4 linked regions of the Xenopus tropicalis genome follow. The protein of the gene in region 4 purifies or fractionates together with the protein of the main gene of each other region. This does not show direct contact. Links are inferred from orthologs where the notes say so. Each region holds a gene or a part of one and is shown on either strand. Other genes may lie near its edges.

What was found.
Region 1: the proteins of hdac11 (region 4) and gcfc2 purify together in Homo sapiens (co-immunoprecipitation; 3 studies listed by BioGRID and IntAct, counting the BioPlex papers as one, with this or other methods). This does not show direct contact. The link is inferred for Xenopus tropicalis from reciprocal best matches to the Homo sapiens genes HDAC11 and GCFC2.
Region 2: the proteins of hdac11 (region 4) and atg2b purify together in Homo sapiens (co-immunoprecipitation; 3 studies listed by BioGRID and IntAct, counting the BioPlex papers as one, with this or other methods). This does not show direct contact. The link is inferred for Xenopus tropicalis from reciprocal best matches to the Homo sapiens genes HDAC11 and ATG2B.
Region 3: the proteins of hdac11 (region 4) and paxbp1 purify together in Homo sapiens (co-immunoprecipitation; 3 studies listed by BioGRID and IntAct, counting the BioPlex papers as one, with this or other methods). This does not show direct contact. The link is inferred for Xenopus tropicalis from reciprocal best matches to the Homo sapiens genes HDAC11 and PAXBP1.

Annotation. Positions count from the first base shown.
Region 1 is NC_030681.2:145,848,840-145,854,259, reverse strand, and holds the start of gcfc2 (GC-rich sequence DNA-binding factor 2), read left to right. Parts: upstream 1-2,198; 5' UTR 2,199-2,257; coding exon 2,258-2,651; intron 2,652-5,140; coding exon 5,141-5,239; intron 5,240-5,420.
Region 2 is NC_030684.2:89,146,813-89,152,153, forward strand, and holds the start of atg2b (autophagy-related protein 2 homolog B), read right to left. Parts: upstream 3,214-5,341; 5' UTR 2,797-3,213; coding exon 2,635-2,796; intron 922-2,634; coding exon 759-921; intron 1-758. Other genes in the region: gskip (GSK3-beta interaction protein), read left to right, coding at 5,125-5,341. UniProt on the Homo sapiens protein: Lipid transfer protein required for both autophagosome formation and regulation of lipid droplet morphology and dispersion.
Region 3 is NC_030678.2:15,092,052-15,096,689, forward strand, and holds part of paxbp1 (PAX3- and PAX7-binding protein 1), read left to right. Parts: intron 1-215; coding exon 216-341; intron 342-433; coding exon 434-607; intron 608-2,788; coding exon 2,789-3,010; intron 3,011-3,403; coding exon 3,404-3,507; intron 3,508-4,626; coding exon 4,627-4,638. UniProt on the Homo sapiens protein: Adapter protein linking the transcription factors PAX3 and PAX7 to the histone methylation machinery and involved in myogenesis.
Region 4 is NC_030680.2:152,345,909-152,350,546, forward strand, and holds part of hdac11 (histone deacetylase 11), read left to right. Parts: intron 1-2,536; coding exon 2,537-2,653; intron 2,654-3,516; coding exon 3,517-3,559; intron 3,560-3,697; coding exon 3,698-3,774; intron 3,775-4,361; coding exon 4,362-4,424; intron 4,425-4,571; coding exon 4,572-4,638. UniProt on the Homo sapiens protein: Responsible for the deacetylation of lysine residues on the N-terminal part of the core histones (H2A, H2B, H3 and H4).

The sequences.
Region 1 (5,420 bases), on a different chromosome or scaffold from region 4:
TCTCCCATAGGGCTCAATGGCACTCTGCAGCTCCAACCCGGCCCAAGGAAAGCCTCCCATAGGACTCAATGGCACTCTGCAGCTCCAACCCGGCCCAAGGAAAGTCTCCCATAGGGCTCAATGGCACTCTGCAGCTCCAACCCGGCCCAAGGAAAGTCTCCCATAGGGCTCAATGGCACTCTGCAGCTCCAACCCGGCCCAAGGAAAGTCACCATACCGAAGCTTGAATGAATCCAAAACTTTCGTACTTGTTACGACAAATATGATTTTCTTGCGCAAATTCTTGCAAAGTACGGAAATATTGCAGAACATACGCAAAAGTTGTAAACTTTAGAAAAAATACTTATTTTTTTTGTAATCGGACCTGTTGTACCTGATGAATGTGCCCCTAAGTGTTAGCAAGGCACAGGGAGGGAGATGGAGCAGTGCTGGCGGAGGCAAAGTAAAAATGGCCTTCTGCATGACTGTATGAGGTGCAGACTAATTGGAATTGACTATTTAGAAATAGAACCAGGACAAAATATGCATCTTGTTGGTAATTTACCTAAAAAATATTTCCTAAAGTTGCAGCAATCAAGTGTCCACAGGAGGCGTACGGAGGAGTCACAAACAGCTGGTAACAGTTACATAAGTAGGTTTCGTTTATTTAGCACCTGGTGCTAGTGTCACACACCAAGTTTGTTTATTTTAATCCAGAGCAGAGATATTACAGCGGCTCAAATGCCTCCCCATTCTGGTAACTTAAATTTTGCCGTCTGAAGCGAGATTCTCAAGTTCTCATTACAGCTGCGCCCCTGGACAGCATAGAGCAGGGGCAAGAAGGTGGGAAGGGGTTAAACTAGGGAAAACTCCATTGACCCCCAATAATCTGCATGACTTATTAGCACATTAATCAGTGGAACTCTTTGTATGAACTGCGTATTAGCAGCTGTTTATATTGCACATATTGGCCACAATTTTGGCACTGTGCACTTTTGTTCATGGGGGGGCCCCATATAAATAGTTTTGGGGAGGCCCTGTAGGCCATACCTCTCAACTGTCCCGATTTTCGCGGGACAGTCCCTCTTTAGACAGCTCAACCCGCAGTCCCAGATTCTTACTGAAAAGTCCCTCATTTCCCTTTGATCTCCTGCACTGAAGCTAAAAAAGATACAAATATAATTAAAAGTAGCTTTTGGCAGAAAGCCCAGAAATCTTAACGAGCCTCACTTGCATTTAGATACATTGTTTCTCGCTTTTAATGAATAAGGCTGATGCCACACGCATCAAACGCTTGCTGAAAATTCAGCCCTACCGCCTGCTACTTGTGCCTGCGCCCGAATGAATGGAATACGCTCGGGTGCAGGCACATGTAGCCGATATACTCATGAAAAAGCAAGACTTTGCATTCTCACGCCTTTTCATGCGTATATCGGCAGGCGTAGGGCTGAATTTTAAAAATAAGCCCTACGCCGAGTGTGGCATCAGCCTAAAGTGGGCTTTTTGGCAGAGAGCCCAGAAAGGTAAAAAGCCCCCCCCAGATACAATTGTAACTAATAAGCTAAACAGGTCTCTTGGGGGAACTGAGACTCACACCTTAAAGGGCAATTTCACCTTTTTCAGCAAAATTGTAATACACATAAAACAGGACCCCAAAACCCCCAGAAATGTGTTTAAACTTTAAATAACCTGTCAAATTTAGTCAAATGGGAGTGGTATTTAGGGGGTGTGGTCGCAAAAATGGGCGTGGTCAAAAATATTCTGCGGCGCTGTGCGCATTTATTTTTGACCCACTTTTCATTTTCAAAATGTTGGGAGCTATACTGTAGGTAACAATACATAACACACACTTGACCCTCTCCTATACTGCCTTGCTGCCAAATCCTTACTGCCAGGAGCAAAATTTGTAGTTTGAAGTAGCTGGAAAGAGGGAACTACCATACAGAATCCCCTTGTATAGTTGCTATGCCACTGATTTTGGAGGTAAATTTCCTATTTCTGTTGCGTTTTTGGCAATTAAGGGGTGCCTAGAAGTTAGTCAAGGTAGATAATTGTATATAAATAGGGGAGCAGGTTATAGAGGAGAAAGGTTGTGGCATGACAGCCAGTGGAAAGAGGTCAGAAATGGAAAAGCAAATACAAGACAAAAGTACATATTGGTTTGTGTAATAAAGCTTTTTTTAAAAAAAGAAAAAAAAAACCCTATCCTGATTGGCTGCAAAGTGTTCGCCCAAGTCGCTTTGCCTGACGTCAGTTAAATGCGCCCCGCTACTTGACAATGTTTAGAAAACCGAAGCGAGCGATTCGTGTGAGGAAAGCGGAGTCCAGCGAGGAAGAGGAGCGGGAAGAAGAGAGTGAGCAACCCCGGGCCAGGGAGCAGAGGAGGCCAGCCGGCCGCGGCTTATTTTGTGGGACTGAGCGAGGGAAGAGGGCCGAAGCGGCGCAGGGAGACGGGGCTGGGAGTGATGCGGCGCGGAGAGACGGGGCTGGGAGTGATGCGGCGCGGAGAGACGGGGCTGGGAGTGATGCGGCGCGGAGAGACGGGGCTGGGAGTGATGCGGAAGGGGAACCGGATCCCAGTGAAACAGTCGGGACTGCTCCTGTGGAACCCGAATTCTCTATTCGCTTTACAGCCCCGCCCACCCTGCTGAGCTTCGCTGAGGAGAGAGAAGGTGAGGCAAAACTCTGCCCTTGGCCCCAGCTGAACCCAGAGTGGGAAACAAGTCATTCCTTATTCCCTGCCCGGTAGCTCATTCCTTGCCCTGTGCCCCAGGCAGTACAAATATCCCACACTTGGTACCAACACATTGACTTTTCCTTATGAAGAGGGACGTTATAACACAGGGGTTGGCCTCAGTCTCCCACAATATGTTGGAAATTCTCCTGCAATGGCAGGGTCTGGTTATCCGTATTCAGTTACAGTCCTGTTGACTTAGAGATGAAAATCCACTGAGTAGCAATATGCCCCATGTGCCTTTGCCCTTGGCATTTTCTGTATATAAATCACCGTTATCTAAACTATGCCCGGCCATTCTATTGTTGTGTTAAACTGCAGCTCAAACAATCAAGTGCCAGCAATTGTTGTACAACAGTTGAAGGACTGAAAGATGGGCATTCTTGTTTGTATTTTTTTGCCCTCTTCAGTTTTGTTCCCCAGCCATCCTCCATTGCCCACGTCTGGCTTGTATTATGCCATGTATCTAAAGCTTACAATCCAATTTCCTAATTATTGATATGCCTATCGCTCATCAGTAGCAAGTTCCCCTCCTTGTATGGTCACCTGGTCTAATTCAGTTTGTACACATTTAGGGTAATGTCCTATGGAGAGATTAACAATAGAAAAAATGTTCAGCACACCACTTACACCAGTGATCCCCAACCAGTAGCTCGTGAGCAACACATTGCTCCCCAACCCCTTGGATGTTGCTCTCAGTGCCCCCAAACCAGGTAGTTATATTTGAATTCCTGACTTGGGGGCAAGTTTTGGTTGAGTATAAACAAGAATTACTACCAATAAAGCCCCCTGTAAGCTGATAGGGTGCATAGAGGCTGCCTAATAGCCAATCACAGCCCTTATTTGGCTCCTCCATGAACTTTTATGGTGCTTGTGTTGCTCCCCAAGTCTTTTTACATTTGTCTGTGGCTCACGAGTAAGAAAGGTTGGGGACCCCTGACTTACACACTTCCATAGGGTGCTTCAATTTCTCGGCTGCTCCTAAGCCATTCCATGTACTTTACAAAGGGAAGAAGCACACCAATTTGTCGGCCATGCCTTTCAACACATTTATTGCAGTGGCACAAACTTTCGGGGGTTACCCCCTTCTTCAGGTGCAATGAAGAAGAACCTGAAGAAGGGGGTAATGCCTGAAAGCTTGTGCCACTTACTTTCTGCAATAAATGTGTTGAAAGGCATGGCCGACAAATTGGTGTGCTTCTTCCCTATGCAGAGATTAGTCACCGGCGATAGATCTCTGCCACTGCAGGCGACTAATCTCTGCGAAGTGCCTTTCCGCCAGCAACAAAGGGAAAAGGCATATGTGCCGCTTTGGTTTTCAGCAGTCTCTCAAAGGTGCCTGCAGAAAGGAAACTTTGTGCGACTTCGGAAAACCAAAGCGATGCCTATGCCTTTCCACCATCTACTCCCTTTGTTGCTGATGGGAAGGAGAGATTAGTCGCCCGTGATAGATCTCTGCTACCGCAGGTGACTAATCTCTCCATAGGACATTACCCTAAGAGAGTGGATAGCAAACTGAGTTTCTGCCCCCCATGAGGAACATAAATGACAAACCGCCTCGGGGGGGGGGGCAGAAGGCTGGAACTAAATAGAATATTAGTTTGGTGACATAGATAGTCACAGAAGCCCAATGTCAAGGTCAGTAAGAACAAAGTTTATTTGCTGTACTGGAAATCATTAGAACTATTGCTGTTAAAGGAGAAGGAAAGTCATTTTGGCATTTTACTGCCAACAGATTAGCCACATTAGTGCCACCTAGAACACTATATGTATTCTGCAGAAAGCTTTACCATGTCTGAGTAAAGAGCCCTAGAAGCTCCCTCTGTTTGTTTGAGATTGCAGCTGCCGTTTTAGCTTGGTCTCCGTAGCTTCCGTGCTGCAGCTCTAGCTGCTGGTAGCTCAGATCACACACTCTTTTATGGGAGGGGAAGTGAATTGTTATGAATTTTGATGGGAGGGGGATTGAATTGTTATGAATTTTGATGGGAGGGGGAGCAAAAAAACCGAGAGGTAAGGAGAGAGCTTCGCAGACTTTTGTCCATGCCCTGAAGGAACTCTAAAGGACAGGAAGTCTGATACTTAAGAGGATGTTTATAAAAAGAAACACAGGATTTCTTATACAATTGTTGCACCTTAAGGCTGTGAATGCCAGGCTGTTTTAATTCGAACCCCTTTAAGTACACACATCTCTGCCTATTCTGTATGTACTCCAATGGCAGAAACCCTTTTCACTCTGTCTTTTATTTTAGGATTTGTGTGTAAGCCAAGGGTAGTGTTTAATATGTTTTCTTGGTAAAATGGCATTTATATCAGGATGCCTACAGCACAGAGCTTTGGGGGGAGCTGTTGTCCCCATTGAGCTGTCCCTCGAATCTCAAATTACTATACAAAGCATATAGTCCTAATATTTATCTTTTCCCTGTGAAGATGCAGACTTCAAGATCAAGAAGCCCAGTGTCAATGCAGTGGTATTTCAAGTGCAGAAAAAGACAGAAAAGAACTCCATAATTAAGTCCTATAAAAAAGGTAAATGTATTTCTATAATCCAGGAACATCCACCCCTTAGAATATAGTTATTAAACACCAGTTTGTTCCTTTCTATGTACAAGAATTGTTATATTATTTTTACAATCCATTACTGATCAGCATATTGTCTCTGGGTGAAGATAATGATATAAATACATACATGCATGTAGCCTACAGAGTC
Region 2 (5,341 bases), on a different chromosome or scaffold from region 4:
TTCAAAAGAAACAGGATTTCTTGTCTGTTTGTTTTCCTGTGCCAGAGACATGCAGCTCTCTCCCCTCTCCTGCTCCCCACTCCCTCAAGAATGCTAAGAACTCACTCCCCCCCCCTTAGGAATGTGGATCTGAGCCAAACAGCAAGAAGCTTCCTCATAGTCTTACACACTGAGCATGTACAACGGTCTTGGTGCAGGAGCGAGGCATTATGGGAACTTTCTTTACAGAGCTCAGCGTTTTTTTTTTTTTTCCTATGAGGCTTCTGATCATCTGAACGGGTGAAATATGGGGAGACTTAAGGGCACTATTGAGAGAACTGAAGGTACGCCTGCAGTTTGAGATTAACTCTTTATTAGCCTTTACTTCTCCTTTAAGACAGTTGAGCGATTTGGAGATAATACCACTACCAGCATAAACAGTTCTGCTGAAAGACAAACTGTCTGTGTCACGCTATATCTTTTGCAGCTCTGAATGTGTCCTCTACCACTGGTGACAACTTTACGCAAGGAAGCCTTGTGCCTAACCCACCTTTGTCTGCATTAAACCGCTTCCAAATTCTTAATCTGCTGACAATATTGAGTAAATGAAAGACATATTCATTAACAAAACACTACTTGGTGCCCCTGCTACAAAACACACATCACATAATTATGAGTGCTACAAAGTAACTACTTCACTTCATAATATACATATTGCTTTTACTTATCGTTTTCCAGTTTTTTCTAGTATAAAAAATCATCATGAAAAGTTTACTTACTTAGCCGAGGTCTTGGCCTGAAGACCATCTCGAGTCCCTTCACTTCAAGTGCACAATTATCCTGCAGTAAGGAGCCCCATGGAATGGAGAGAGAGATGGCTTGTATAAAACCTTCTGTAACCTCCAAAGGTGCATCTGCTGACTCCAGTATTTCATTTAGACTCTAGATAGAAAAATAGTATAATAAATGCATAGTTCACATTGCTTCATGTGTGATATTACAACACTTCATTATAATAAACCTGTAATTAGAAAATTATTATTTAAGGAACTATTAATACTACAATTGTTGTAAAGCACCAATCAAATAGAAAACTAATTTCTAGAAACTAATTGCATTCCATTCAAATTCCAAAACGTTTTCTAAATATTTCAATAATAAAAAAAAGTGGGTTGAGAGTTTACCTTCATAAAAAAAGAGATTTTTGTTAAAAATCAAACGTGCTTAATCAGTTATTTTCCTCAATGTATACAATTAAAAATGAGCTTAATTAACAAAGTTTCAGTGATTGGTAAAGTCTAAGCATACAAAATAGGAAATATATATATATAGGAAATATATATTGCTGAAAAGTAATGTCTTTAGTTTCCATAGGGCTGAAAAACACTTCAGTAAATGCAGTAAAATATCAAGAGGGAGGCATAAAATAGTATAATATGAGCTTATTTTGCAAAAAAACCTGAATTTAACAAGAAGTTAGGTATCTGCCTTAAGTATTGGACAGTGGAGTACTCATTGATTCAATACATTCCACAATCTAACACTTTCAAACAATGATTCAGAACATTATTAGATAAAGTACCTTAAATTTTGATTTGGAGGAATGTAAAAGAATGTGTGTGCTTGTGCTTGTGCTTTAAGCAACTACAGCCCTTTCTTGAAATATTAGAAAGCTTGCTAGTTCAGTCTAAGTGGCAATAAACCAAGCCAATTTAACCCTTTTCCTGCTGGGAACCTTTGATCTTGCTGCACCATGCCATCAATCAAAACAGAACACAAATGAAGAAGAAGTCAAACCAGCAAGTTGAATGGGTAGAAGAAAAGTAGCTTCAGCAAAATTAGAGGACAATTACAACTGTTAAGGTGTACCATGCTAATGATAAGAGATGACATTGGACAGTTCTCTGTATTTACTCCTTGTTACTTCATCAGAAAAATGTGACAAAACATAATGTGTGAACTTAAGGGCTACTGAATAGACAAGAAGGTACTAAGGGTGAAGACACACAGAGCTACTAGTAGCAGCTACTTGTCGTGGCTACTAAAAAAAGACAATGCTGACCATTTACTGATAATTGTCTCTACGTGTGCTTTAGCAGAGGAAATTCTCAGTATTGTCTATGGCAGGGTATTTTCTGGAGATCAGTAGCCTTGAAAAAGTAGCTGCTACTAGTAGCCCAGTGTGTGTCTTTACCCTTAGAAACACTTTCAACTGGAAAAAAAAAAACAATAATAAAGAACTAAACTGGTATGTTCTCTCAAGCAGGGATAACACACGGCTACTGAAATGTGTTTCACTAATAGTCTTTATTATACTTTTACATACACATATTTACCAATTTATTTGTGAATTCTTCAACGTCATTCCAGTAAACTGCAATGCACTAACAAACAGAATGGTTGAGCTGTTTGTAGCAATAAATGTTACATGAATGCACCATTTATCTCAAAAACTATACCAAAAAATCTAAATCACCTCTTTAAGACAATTAAATATTGAGCATCTACAACAGTATGGGTGCATTTTTATGTCTATGGCCATTCCCCTTTAACTCTGTTAAGATTACTATGTGCCACTGTTATAACACCATGTTTATAGAAAGATAATTCATTTTCAATCAATGCATTTCAGACATTGTCATTTACATGGCTTACCCATTTGTCCAAGGGAACTTGTGACAGAGAGCCAGTGCCTTGATACAAGTCCAAAGTGAGCTGTTCCAGGCTGAGTTTTTCCTGAAGAAAGTGCCCTAGATATCGTTGCAGCAGGTACCTGCAGGCCCTTTTCTTGATGGACTCAGAGAAGGGCCAAGGCATGATTACTACTGAATGGGAGATCACACAGCCCTATTAACTCTGTCACCCTAAGCAGAATTTAGGTGCTAATTTAAGTACCCAGAACTAACATACACAACCTGCACATGTCATGCACACACTTAGCTTGTCTGTTTGATTCGCATGCATAACTATTGACCATTACTTATCCATCTTAAACTCGTCATTCATTTAACCATTCACCCAACACACTGGGTATTGCCAAAGTCACACAATATTGCGTATTTCTATTAAAGGCCTTCAAGCCACGTTAATCAGCTGTATCTGAAGTCCATGCTCAGTGTTGCCGCGGAGATTCAGCCCTTCCATTAGTCGGGTTTCGGTAGGAGGATAACAGTGCAATACTGGCAGCAATACAACAAGCTTATAATCCTAACAATTCCAAAAAGCTGCCTTCTCACTCTCCCATAACTCCGTATCAGCTTGTCTCAGGGATCGAGACATAAACAATGACATCACTTCCAGGTTGTGAGAACAACACAGTTCTACGGACGCCATTTTTTAATTTGGCACACAATGGGAACTCCAGTCCTAGCGTGCCCGGTCACGGTTACTTAATGATTGTGAATGTGGCAATCGGCATGAACAGGAAGTAAAGGTTTAACCAGAGCTGCGGAAGGCATTGATTGTACTGTAGTTTGGAATCTGCGTGATAAGACTAATCTCCTTTAACGCAAATAATTACAGGTAAAAGTGTGAAAACTAGGCTGGCAGGAGTCGCAGTCAGACAGGGGCGTAGCGCCTTACTTCTATACACAGGCGCTGCATGACTCTGGAAAATAATATTCTGGTTATAGTTCAGCAATTGCTCTTATGTCCCAGAGAATCGCGATTTGCTTTCGTTATGAAAAAAATACTGGGAGATACTGCGACTCATGCAGGACGTTGCCTGTCCTCCCTGAGAATTGGTCCTGAATATGAACTGCTAAGCAAATTATTGTACAATCTATTGTGTCAGCAATTTGTATGAAAATTAGAGACCATGTGAATTGTGTGTAGGAAGGATCAATATTTAAGCATTTAGTTTGCTAACGTTGACTTCTTTACTTTACAGGTATAGGACCCGTTATCCAGAATACTCGGGACCAAGGGTATGGCGGATTAGAGGTCTTTCCGTAATTTGGATCCATAATTTGGATCTCCATACCTTAAGTCTACTAAAAAATCAATAAAACATTAATTAAACCCAATAGGATTGTTTTGCATCCAAAAAGGAATATTTATATCTTATTAGGATCAATTACAATGTACTGCTTTATTACTGCAGAGAAAAAGGAAATCAGTTTTCAAATTCTGAATTATTTGATTAAAATGGAGTCTATGGGAGACGGGCTTTCCGTAATTCGGAGCTTTCTGGATAATGGGTTTCCAGATAAGGGATCCCATACTTGTACTTGATAGAAGCAATCGCACTTTGGGAGCTTTATCCTGAATTTGAATGTCTCCTGTTGATTATTCATTACACATGAATTATTCATTAAATATTAAAATATGCATTTTAGTATCTCTGTGTTTGTTTTATGCCTGTTTATGAATGATTTAGTGATATTTTAAAATATGGTGGGCATAATGCATAGTGATGGTCAGCATTTTCTGTGTCTGGAGGCTCTCCAACTCAGGCGCTGAATCACTGCAGGTTGAATTCAGTAGAAATGATTGCCAGTTAGCCTTCAGGGGAGATATATATTGCTCTTGAAAAATCACTTAAGGTGACCATACTCTGTCCTTCCACACCAGCTCAGCAGCTTATTGGCTGTATATAGGAGCAATATTATATGATTAAAAATCCTGATAGCAATCGAGCAGGCTTGATTTTGCTGTCTTAGCAAGGACAGGATCAGCCCTTTGATGCAGTCCTCTTCTGATGGCCTGCATATTTATAATTTGATCATTGGCTCGAGGGCCAAATGATCAGATCAGCCTGACAGCACCCTGCTTAAGATGGGCATAAAGGGGAAAACTCTTGCCAAACAAGCAGATCTTTAGGTGTATGAATAGTTTAAGTATGATATGATTTAAAGGCATATGGCACAAAAGCTGCTTTGTTGTAGTAGCAATCAGATTTTTGTGGAAAAGCTATGGGCTGCTTTCCATTGACAGCAGGAGAAAGTACTGGAAGAATTGACCAAAAGAATACCTTAAAGGCACACTTCTCTTTTTATTAATTTTTTGTATGTACAGAAATACCTTATCAAAGCAGATTAATATTTTTTTTTTTTTTAAATACAGTTTTTGGTGCAGACTTTTTTGACTGTTAATTTAGTCTAATCCTATTTCCCTTAACTACTTTGTTTGTTTGTTTTTTAGAAAATGGAGGTCGACTACAACCCAATGGATTTGCCAGTTAACACTGTTTATGAAGATGAGTCTGAATTCAGAGATTTGGAAGGAACTGATGTAAAGGATATGTGTTTAGAGGCTGAAGCTATTGTAAATGATGTACTGTTTGCTGTTGGCAACATGTTTGTCTCAAAAACTCTACCATGTGCTGTGGATGTTGCATACATCAATGTTGAGATAAAGGAAG
Region 3 (4,638 bases), on a different chromosome or scaffold from region 4:
TGATCTCCCGACCTGATCCAGATCAGAACTTCCCTGATTGATATCACTTGGGAAAAGTAGAATATGGGATACGCTGCTGCCAGTTAGTTGTATAGAGGCTGAATTAGCTGCCATTATCTCCCTTTAAATGTAACATTGCTTTAGTGTTTGGAGTACAGACTAGTAAATCAAATGCATAAAAATCTCATCTGATAATAAACATGTTTTTTCCTCAGATGAGGAAATCTTTAAAGTGAAAAAATCCAATCACAGCAAAAAAATTGTGAAGATGCTAAAAAAGGAATATAAAGACGATCTAGAGAAGACCAAGCCGAAGGCGTCCGGCAACAGTACAGTTGATGGTAAGAGTAATATTACAGTGTGATGTGGCTGGTCAGGGTGGGATATCTGTTCTGTTAGTGCAAGTGAATTTAATGGTAACCTTGCGGCACAGGTGACAGCTTTATGAACAGATCCCTGCCGCCTAAGGATGGAATCCAAGAGGACATTGCTGTGGGCAGCGATCTAGGGGAGGAGGAGATGGAAGTTGAAAGTGAAAAAGAAGAGGAAAAACCCAAAGCCGGCTCATTTACAAACGCAGTGTCTTCTCTGAATGTCCTCCGCCCAGGTAAGTGCCCTATATTTCTGTGGCATCTTTGCAGGTCCTCCCTAGCTGCCATTCCTTGCTACTGGGCACCAGAGGGGCACAAAACGGGCCTGGATCAAGATACTTGTTGGTACAGGTATAGGACCCGTTATCCAGAATGCTCGGGACCAAGGGTATTCCGGATAAGGGGTCTTTCTGTAATTTGGATCTCCATACCTTAAGTCTGCTAAAAAATCAATAAAACATTAATTAAACCCAATAGGACTGTTCTGCCCCCAATAAGGGGTAATTATATCTTAGTTGGGATCAAGTACAGGTACTGTTTTATTATTACAGAGAAAAGGGAATCATTTAACCATGAAATAAACCCAATAGGGCTGTTCTGCCCCCAATAAGGGGTAATTATATCTTAGTTGGGATCAAGTACAGGTACTGTTTTATTATTACAGAGAAAAGGGAATCATTTAACCATTAAATAAACCCAATAGGATTGTTCTGCCCCCAATAAGGGGTAATTATATCTTAGTTGGGATAAAGTACAGGTACTGTTTTATTATTACAGAGAAAAGGGAATCATTTAACCATTAAATAAACCCAATAGGGCTGTTCTGCCCCCAGTTGGGATCAATTACAAGGTACTGTTTTATTACTTCAGAGAAAACGGAATTCAGTTTTAAAATTCTGAATTATTTGATTTAAATGGATTCTATGGGAGACGGGCTTTCCGTAATTCGGAGCTTTCTGGATAACGGGTTTCCGGGTAAGGGGTCCGATACCTGTACAACTAAAAGCAAACAATTGTCTACTGATGGCCTCTGGCCGGAGCCCCCCTGGCCTGACTCTTGTGCTTGTTAAAGGGGTTGTTCATTTTTAATTCAACTTTTAGGATGTCTTTTTCTTAGCATCCTTGCCATTGGTCTTTATTATTCTTTATAGTTTTTTAATTATTTGTTATGGTCTTCTGCTTCTTTCCTTCTTGCAAATAGTTTAGTCCCTTTCCTATTCATATTCCAGCCTCTCATTTAAACCACTGACTGTTTGCTAGGGGTGAACAAGACCATAGCAGCCACCTAGATGCTGGCATGCCAAACTGGAGAGCTGCTGAGCAAAAAGCTAAATAATTTAAAAACCACAACAGATAAAACATGAAGACCAATTGCAAACTGTCTCAGAAAATCAATGTCTGTCATAAAGGTGAACAACCCCTTCAAGGGGCAATATTAATGGGAAATGTAACAATTTTTATAATCACATTTTTTGTTCAAAACTGATTATTGTTTTATATGTTTGTACCTTAAAGTGATACTGACATTAAAAATGTAGTCCTCAAAATAATGGTGTACATCAAAAGTTAGCTATGGGTTATACTGATTGTTTTTTGCCCAGGTGTCTGCTTATTTAGTAAAGTTACATGATGTCTAAAACCCGACTGTTTTGCAAACCCGACTGGCACTTCTCAACCTGTCAATTACTGTTTCACTTCACTGATATCAGCTGGGCGGTTCTATTCCCCTTACTTCCTTGCAGTCTGTGCCTCCCCCACATCAAAGACATCAAGATACTTTCACGGAGCGCTGCCTGTAAGTGTCTTCTCAATAAATCTTTGCACCAGAGCTATACTAATTAGTCCTGCTGTGATTTATTATTTGAAAGGAATGCGCTCCCATATAGATAAAAAGTATACACTCTGCGTGTGTCTGCTATAGAGCATACATGACAGAGAGGGCCAGTTCAAAGGGTATCAGAGAAAATATGCTTAGAAAGGGATACAAATACCTCATTCCTAAACACCACTGTTCACTGTTGTACTTCAGCATTAAAAGATTTCATTAGAAATAGTTTGTATGTGCAGCACTGATTCCGATTGGCTAGGATTTTTAAACTAAAATTAAGGGGAGTGTTTTCAAACAACAACAAACTGCTACTGCCCAAACATGGCAGCCCCCTCAGAGAGGAACCCATGAGACCAGAATGGCATTGTAAAAGTGATAGCTATATGGTTATAGGTTGAAATTAAAGAGATAATACAATGATAAAGCAAATGAAAGGTTTAAAAAACATAATTATTTTTGGTGTCAGTATTACTTTAAAACCGCCAGATATAGTGGAATCCTTTGAGCACACACTCACTGGAGTGCTTGATTCTCTATTCTTTTCTACATGGGCTGCAGCCTCAGCAATTGCCAATTTGTTTTTCTCCAGGAGAGATACCAGACGCTGCGTTCATCCATGCAGCGCGTAAGAAGAGACAGATGGCTCGAGAACTTGGAGATGCCCCATCTGTAGATGGTGAGGGGGGTGGTAAAAGCCGACTGGTGCGTGAAGATGAAAACGACGCAAGTGATGATGAAGATGATGATAAGAGGCGAATAGTCTTTTCCGTTCGAGAGAAATCTCAGAGGCAGAAAATAGCGGAGGAAATTGGTAAGTGTTGCTGTTTCCCTGTGTGATAGATGTAGGGAGTGTGTGGGGGGTCATAATATTATATCTCATAATATACTGTAGGTAATGTTTAACACAAGGAGTACACTACACAACTGTGCAAACAGACCCCCCCACACACTCCCTACAATAGAAACCTTCAGTAATATTCAAATGGCCAGTAAGGGAAGGTTTTTGGCACTTTGGTTTGCATTTTTATTTAGAAACATAATGCCGAAAAGTGCCCATTTGCCTAACTGGCATTCTTGTGGAATTAAATTGGGTAAATTGGTACAACTTTTCCACAGTTGAGCTTGTTTTTTACCTTTAGTTGCATTTGGCTCTTGCTAATAAAGGAATGTTTTTTTCCCACCTAATTTTCTATTATTTTTACAGGAATAGAAGGAAGTGATGATGAGGCTTTAGCAACGGGAGACCAAGATGAAGAGCTCAGCCGCTGGGAGCAGGAACAGATTCGGAAGGGAATTAGTATTCCGCAGGCATGTATTACAGACATCACTGTTGAACAAAGAATAGATTGTCAGCACCTCTGGCAGATTCTTGTGTGCAGAAAACACAGCTGCCTAGGATCTCTTGCTTTATGACTTACTAAATCTTAATACCCTTATTATATCATTTATGTTTCAGATATAGTATTTTTAATATAAAGGATCTGTGCCCGAACATGGACCAAACACAAGTGTTCACAATTTATAGGGATGAATTATCAGAAACCGTTCTGTAACCATTAATCTTGCAGATTTCTCTAAAACACAATTGTACTGCCTTCATCAAGGCAGTTTAGCTACAGCATTTAGCATTGGCTGTTAGTAGACATTGGAACAGGAACCTGATGGTTTCATGTAGTCTGTATGAGCCAGGTCTATTCTTTTCAATTGTACCTGGATTTTCCTATTCAGCTTGCCTTTCTGCTCTCAATCCCTAGGTGCTGCCTCATACCCAGAGACACATAAGATAGCAAGATCTGCATTCCAGTGATGGAAAACAGAAGGAATTCTGTTCACTATCATTGGAACAGTGGGGATAGATGTATTCTTGTTGATGTATTATTGCCCTTAGACACCTGACTTGTGCTCTGGTAAACTTTCTGCACTGCACGTTTGAGTGATGTTGCCCCCTCATCATTTCCCTAGCAGCCAATCAGCAGAACAGTGGGAATATAACAGCTCCCTGATACTTGCTCCCATGCCCCACCTAGTTGTGGGTATGAGATAAGCACTTGATGGTCCGACCATGACTCCTCCAGTTACATTGAGTAAGAGAAACAATAACTTATCTGAAAGCAGTTGCATTGTGAAGTGCTGACTCTTTCTGAAAGGGCAGAATCAGGCAGAAGGACCTGACATGGCTGCCTACATACCAGTGTTATAACTTAAAAAAAAATTATTTGTTCAAGCATAAAATTTTAAATGGTAGAATTACTTGCAATGTACACGGTGTAATTTAGTAATAAAGATTGAGAGAGAATCCCTTTCTTTCTCCCCTCTAGCAGGCAGGAATTTAGAAAAAAGAGTTTAATACGTGCTTTCTTTCATGTTTCTGTGCTGTTTGTTTAGATACAGAGAATATTTTGATTGTTACATGTTTTCTCTTTTTAGGTTCAAGCACCT
Region 4 (4,638 bases):
TCGGTGCCGGGGCCTGTCTGTCCTGCTGAGAATTAAGGAAATAAACAGAACAATCATTCTGCATACGGGGCAAATGGGTCAGATTTGGACTCAAACTTCCCCATCATTCTGCTGCTTGTAAGGGTTTGTCTGATCCCCCCCATTGTAAGCAGCAGTCCTGCCCTGCTTTATGGCTGAGATTCTAGCTATCTGTATAACAGAGCATTCTGTCACAGTGGCACAGATCCTATCTGATCCCCCCATTGTAAGCAGCAGTCCTGCCCTGCTTTATGGCTGAGATTCTAGCTATCTGTATAACAGAGCATTCTGTCACAGTGACACAGATCCTATCTGATCCCCCCATTGTAAGCAGCAGTCCTGCCCTGCTTTATGGCTGAGATTCTAGCTATCTGTATAACAGAGCATTCTGTCACAGTGGCACAGATCCTATCTGATCCCCCCATTGTAAGCAGCAGTCCTGCCCTGCTTTATGGCTGAGATTCTAGCTATCTGTATAACAGAGCATTCTGTCACAGTGGCACAGATCCTATCTGATCCCCCCATTGTAAGCAGCAGTCCTGCCCTGCTTTATGGCTGAGATTCTAGCTATCTGTATAACAGAGCATTCTGTCACAGTGGCACAGATCCTATCCCCCCCATTGTAAGCAGCAGTCCTGCCCTGCTTTATGGCTGAGATTCTAGCTATCTGTATAACAGAGCATTCTGTCACAGTGGCACAGATCCTATCTGATCCCCCCATTGTAAGCAGCAGTCCTGCCCTGCTTTATGGCTGAGATTCTAGCTATCTGTATAACAGAGCATTCTGTCACAGTGGCACAGATCCTATCTGATCCCCCCCATTGTAAGCAGCAGTCCTGCCCTGCTTTATGGCTGAGATTCTAGCTATCTGTATAACAGAGCATTCTGTCACAGTGGCACAGATCCTATCTGATCCCCCCATTGTAAGCAGCAGTCCTGCCCTGCTTTATGGCTGAGATTCTAGCTATCTGTATAACAGAGCATTCTGTCACAGTGGCACAGATCCTATCTGATCCCCCCCATTGTAAGCAGCAGTCCTGCCCTGCTTTATGGCTGAGATTCTAGCTATCTGTATAACAGAGCATTCTGTCACAGTGGCACAGATACTATCTGATCCCCCCATTGTAAGCAGCAGTCCTGCCCTGCTTTATGGCTGAGATTCTAGCTATCTGTATAACAGAGCATTCTGTCACAGTGGCACAGATCCTATCTGATCCCCCCCATTGTAAGCAGCAGTCCTGCCCTGCTTTATGGCTGAGATTCTAGCTATCTGTATAACAGAGCATTCTGTCACAGTGGCACAGATCCTATCTGATCCCCCCCATTGTAAGCAGCAGTCCTGCCCTGCTTTATGGCTGAGATTCTAGCTATCTGTATAACAGAGCATTCTGTCACAGTGGCACAGATCCTATCTGATCCCCCCATTGTAAGCAGCAGTCCTGCCCTGCTTTATGGCTGAGATTCTAGCTATCTGTATAACAGAGCATTCTGTCACAGTGGCACAGATCCTATCTGATCCCCCCCATTGTAAGCAGCAGTCCTGCCCTGCTTTATGGCTGAGATTCTAGCTATCTGTATAACAGAGCATTCTGTCACAGTGGCACAGATCCTATCTGATCCCCCCCATTGTAAGCAGCAGTCCTGCCCTGCTTTATGGCTGAGATTCTAGCTATCTGTATAACAGAGCATTCTGTCACAGTGGCACAGATCCTATCTGATCCCCCCCATTGTAAGCAGCAGTCCTGCCCTGCTTTATGGCTGAGATTCTAGCTATCTGTATAACAGAGCATTCTGTCACAGTGGCACAGATCCTATCTGATCCCCCCATTGTAAGCAGCAGTCCTGCCCTGCTTTATGGCTGAGATTCTAGCTATCTGTATAACAGAGCATTCTGTCACAGTGGCACAGATCCTATCTGATCCCCCCCCCCATTGTAAGCAGCAGTCCTGCCCTGCTTTATGGCTGAGATTCTAGCTATCTGTATAACAGAGCATTCTGTCACAGTGGCACAGATCCTATCTGATCCCCCATTGTAAGCAGCAGTCCTGCCCTGCTTTATGGCTGAGATTCTAGCTATCTGTATAACAGAGCATTCTGTCACAGTGGCACAGATCCTATCCCCCCCATTGTAAGCAGCAGTCCTGCCCTGCTTTATGGCTGAGATTCTAGCTATCTGTATAACAGAGCATTCTGTCACAGTGGCACAGATCCTATCTGATCCCCCCATTGTAAGCAGCAGTCCTGCCCTGCTTTATGGCTGAGATTCTAGCTATCTGTATAACAGAGCATTCTGTCACAGTGGCACAGATCCTATCTGATCCCCCCCCCCCATTGTAAGCAGCAGTCCTGCCCTGCTTTATGGCTGAGACTCTAGCTATCTGTATAACAGAGCATTGTGTAATATTGGCATTTAGGGTGCTGGGAGTTGTGCACACAACACATACAGTATATATACAATACAATGTAAGTGTCATTTATTGTACTATGTGCCACTAAGATTTCTTATTTTGCATTTTAGTGGTCTTACGTGGTGGCCACAATCACCGAGATCCCCCCACTCTTCCTGCTCCCCAATTTTCTTGTCCAACGCAAAGTCCTCAAACCGCTGAGGTTCCAGACGGGAGGCACCATCATGGTGAGTGGGACTCAGACAGGATTTGATAGGATCAGCTCCTCATATAGACTCACTAGGCACTTCTATGTGCCAATAAACTCGTGTCAGCCTCTAGCGCCCCCTACAGGATGAATACCCACGGAAGCTGTTCCTGTCTGTTTGTATATGTCTTTTTATGTGTTTATATATATATATTAGGGATGCAACAAATCCATTATTTTTGGTTCGGCCGAATATCTATATATATATGATATAATGAATAAAGTGCCCCCTATTGTAAAATATAAGGATATTGTAAGTCACCTCAGAGTTCCATGACCTGTATAAATGCCTTCGGCCTCGTGCTTTTATACAGGTCATGGAACTCCGAGGTGACATACAATATCCTTATATTTTACAACAGGGGGCACTTTACTAATTATACTATACAAGTTTTGAGTGAGTCATGTGACAGAAATGACATCACTAAACTCCGATTCTAACTGATGACATCACTGAGCACCGTTTATAAGGATATAATTTACAGTTCGGTCCCATAGGGAAATGACCCAACTGTATATTATATATATAAATCCCAAACTGAATCCTGGATTCGCTGTGTCCCTAACCCTAACGACTTGAATAAATGGGGTGCTAAACTGAACCCCCACACTTGCAGCCCCTCGTTAGTACAACATTACACTGCTGCCCACCAACAGGACTCCCAGAGCCCACAGTCCCACCCGTTCCGCCCCCAAACCAGTGTATTTATCCTGAATGAGATGGGGCGTCACTATGGGTATTTATCGGGGTGCTCTGTCCCCCCATTGGCAGAATATCTCCAATTCCCTCAGCAAAATGTTTCCTTATTAAAACAGAAATAACAGGTTTGTTCCTTTTCTCAGGCCGGAAAGCTGGCGATGGAGAGGGGGTGGGCAATCAATGTGGGTAAGTGGCGCCTTTCATTGGCCCAACTCATTTGGCCGATTTCTCTAGATGCCCATGTATTGTACAGCGCTGCGGAATATGTGGGTGCTCTCATGACATCATAATGTAATAATGTCTGTACTTCCTGTTTGGCCCCAGGTGGCGGCTTCCATCACTGTTCCGGCGACAGAGGCGGAGGATTCTGTGCGTACGCCGATATCACGTTGGCCATTAAGGTACCAGGGTGCCGTGCCAGGCAGAGGGTATCCCCTGTCCATTCCCAATGGGGCAAGAAGGCTGGCAAGTCTCCGAGTCTGGGGCGCAGAGTTGGTGTTAGGGGCAGAAAATCAGATAATTGCACAAGGAACATAATCTTAAATGTTACCAATCCTCCCTATACAACTGTCAGACTTACAGGCCTGTAACTCCCTGGTTGAGAATGTTATTCCCTTCTAAGTACTGGAATTTCACCAGTTTTCCTCCAATCAATAGGTACCGTACCTCTCGTAAGGGGGCGGGGTCTGAAAAATTCTAGTTCCCAGTTCCCCTCATAAATATTCTGCCTCTCCGGTGATTAGGAGCAATTCAGGGAATGTATTGGCTATTGGTTGCCAGGGTAACCGATTGATGCTAGATCTATGTTTTTGTATTATTTATGTTCCTTGTTAGTCCCACAGCTCCAGCTATTGAACCCTCTATTACTGTGTCCCCCAGTACTGAACAGGAATGTTAGGAAGAGAGCCCCCTAGGGAATGGGAAGGGTATTGCATGGCTGACAGATTTGTCCCTTATGTTTCTTCTTTCTTTTTGTCCCCATTTTCAGTTTCTGTTTGAGCGAGTGGAAGGGGTATCAAAGGCCACCATTATAGACCTGGATGCCCATCAGGTACCGGCTGCGTGTTGGCATGTCCGTCTGTCTGTCTGGCCATAAGATATGTATCACGTATGGGGGGGTCATCCAACAATCCGGCGAGTCAGGGAAAGGGCGGGTTATTTGTGCTGCGGTTCCGTAATCGCCCCGTTCTGCTTGTAGGGAAATGGGCACGAAAGGGACTTCATGGAGGACAAGCGAGTGTATATCATGGATGTGTATAACCGGC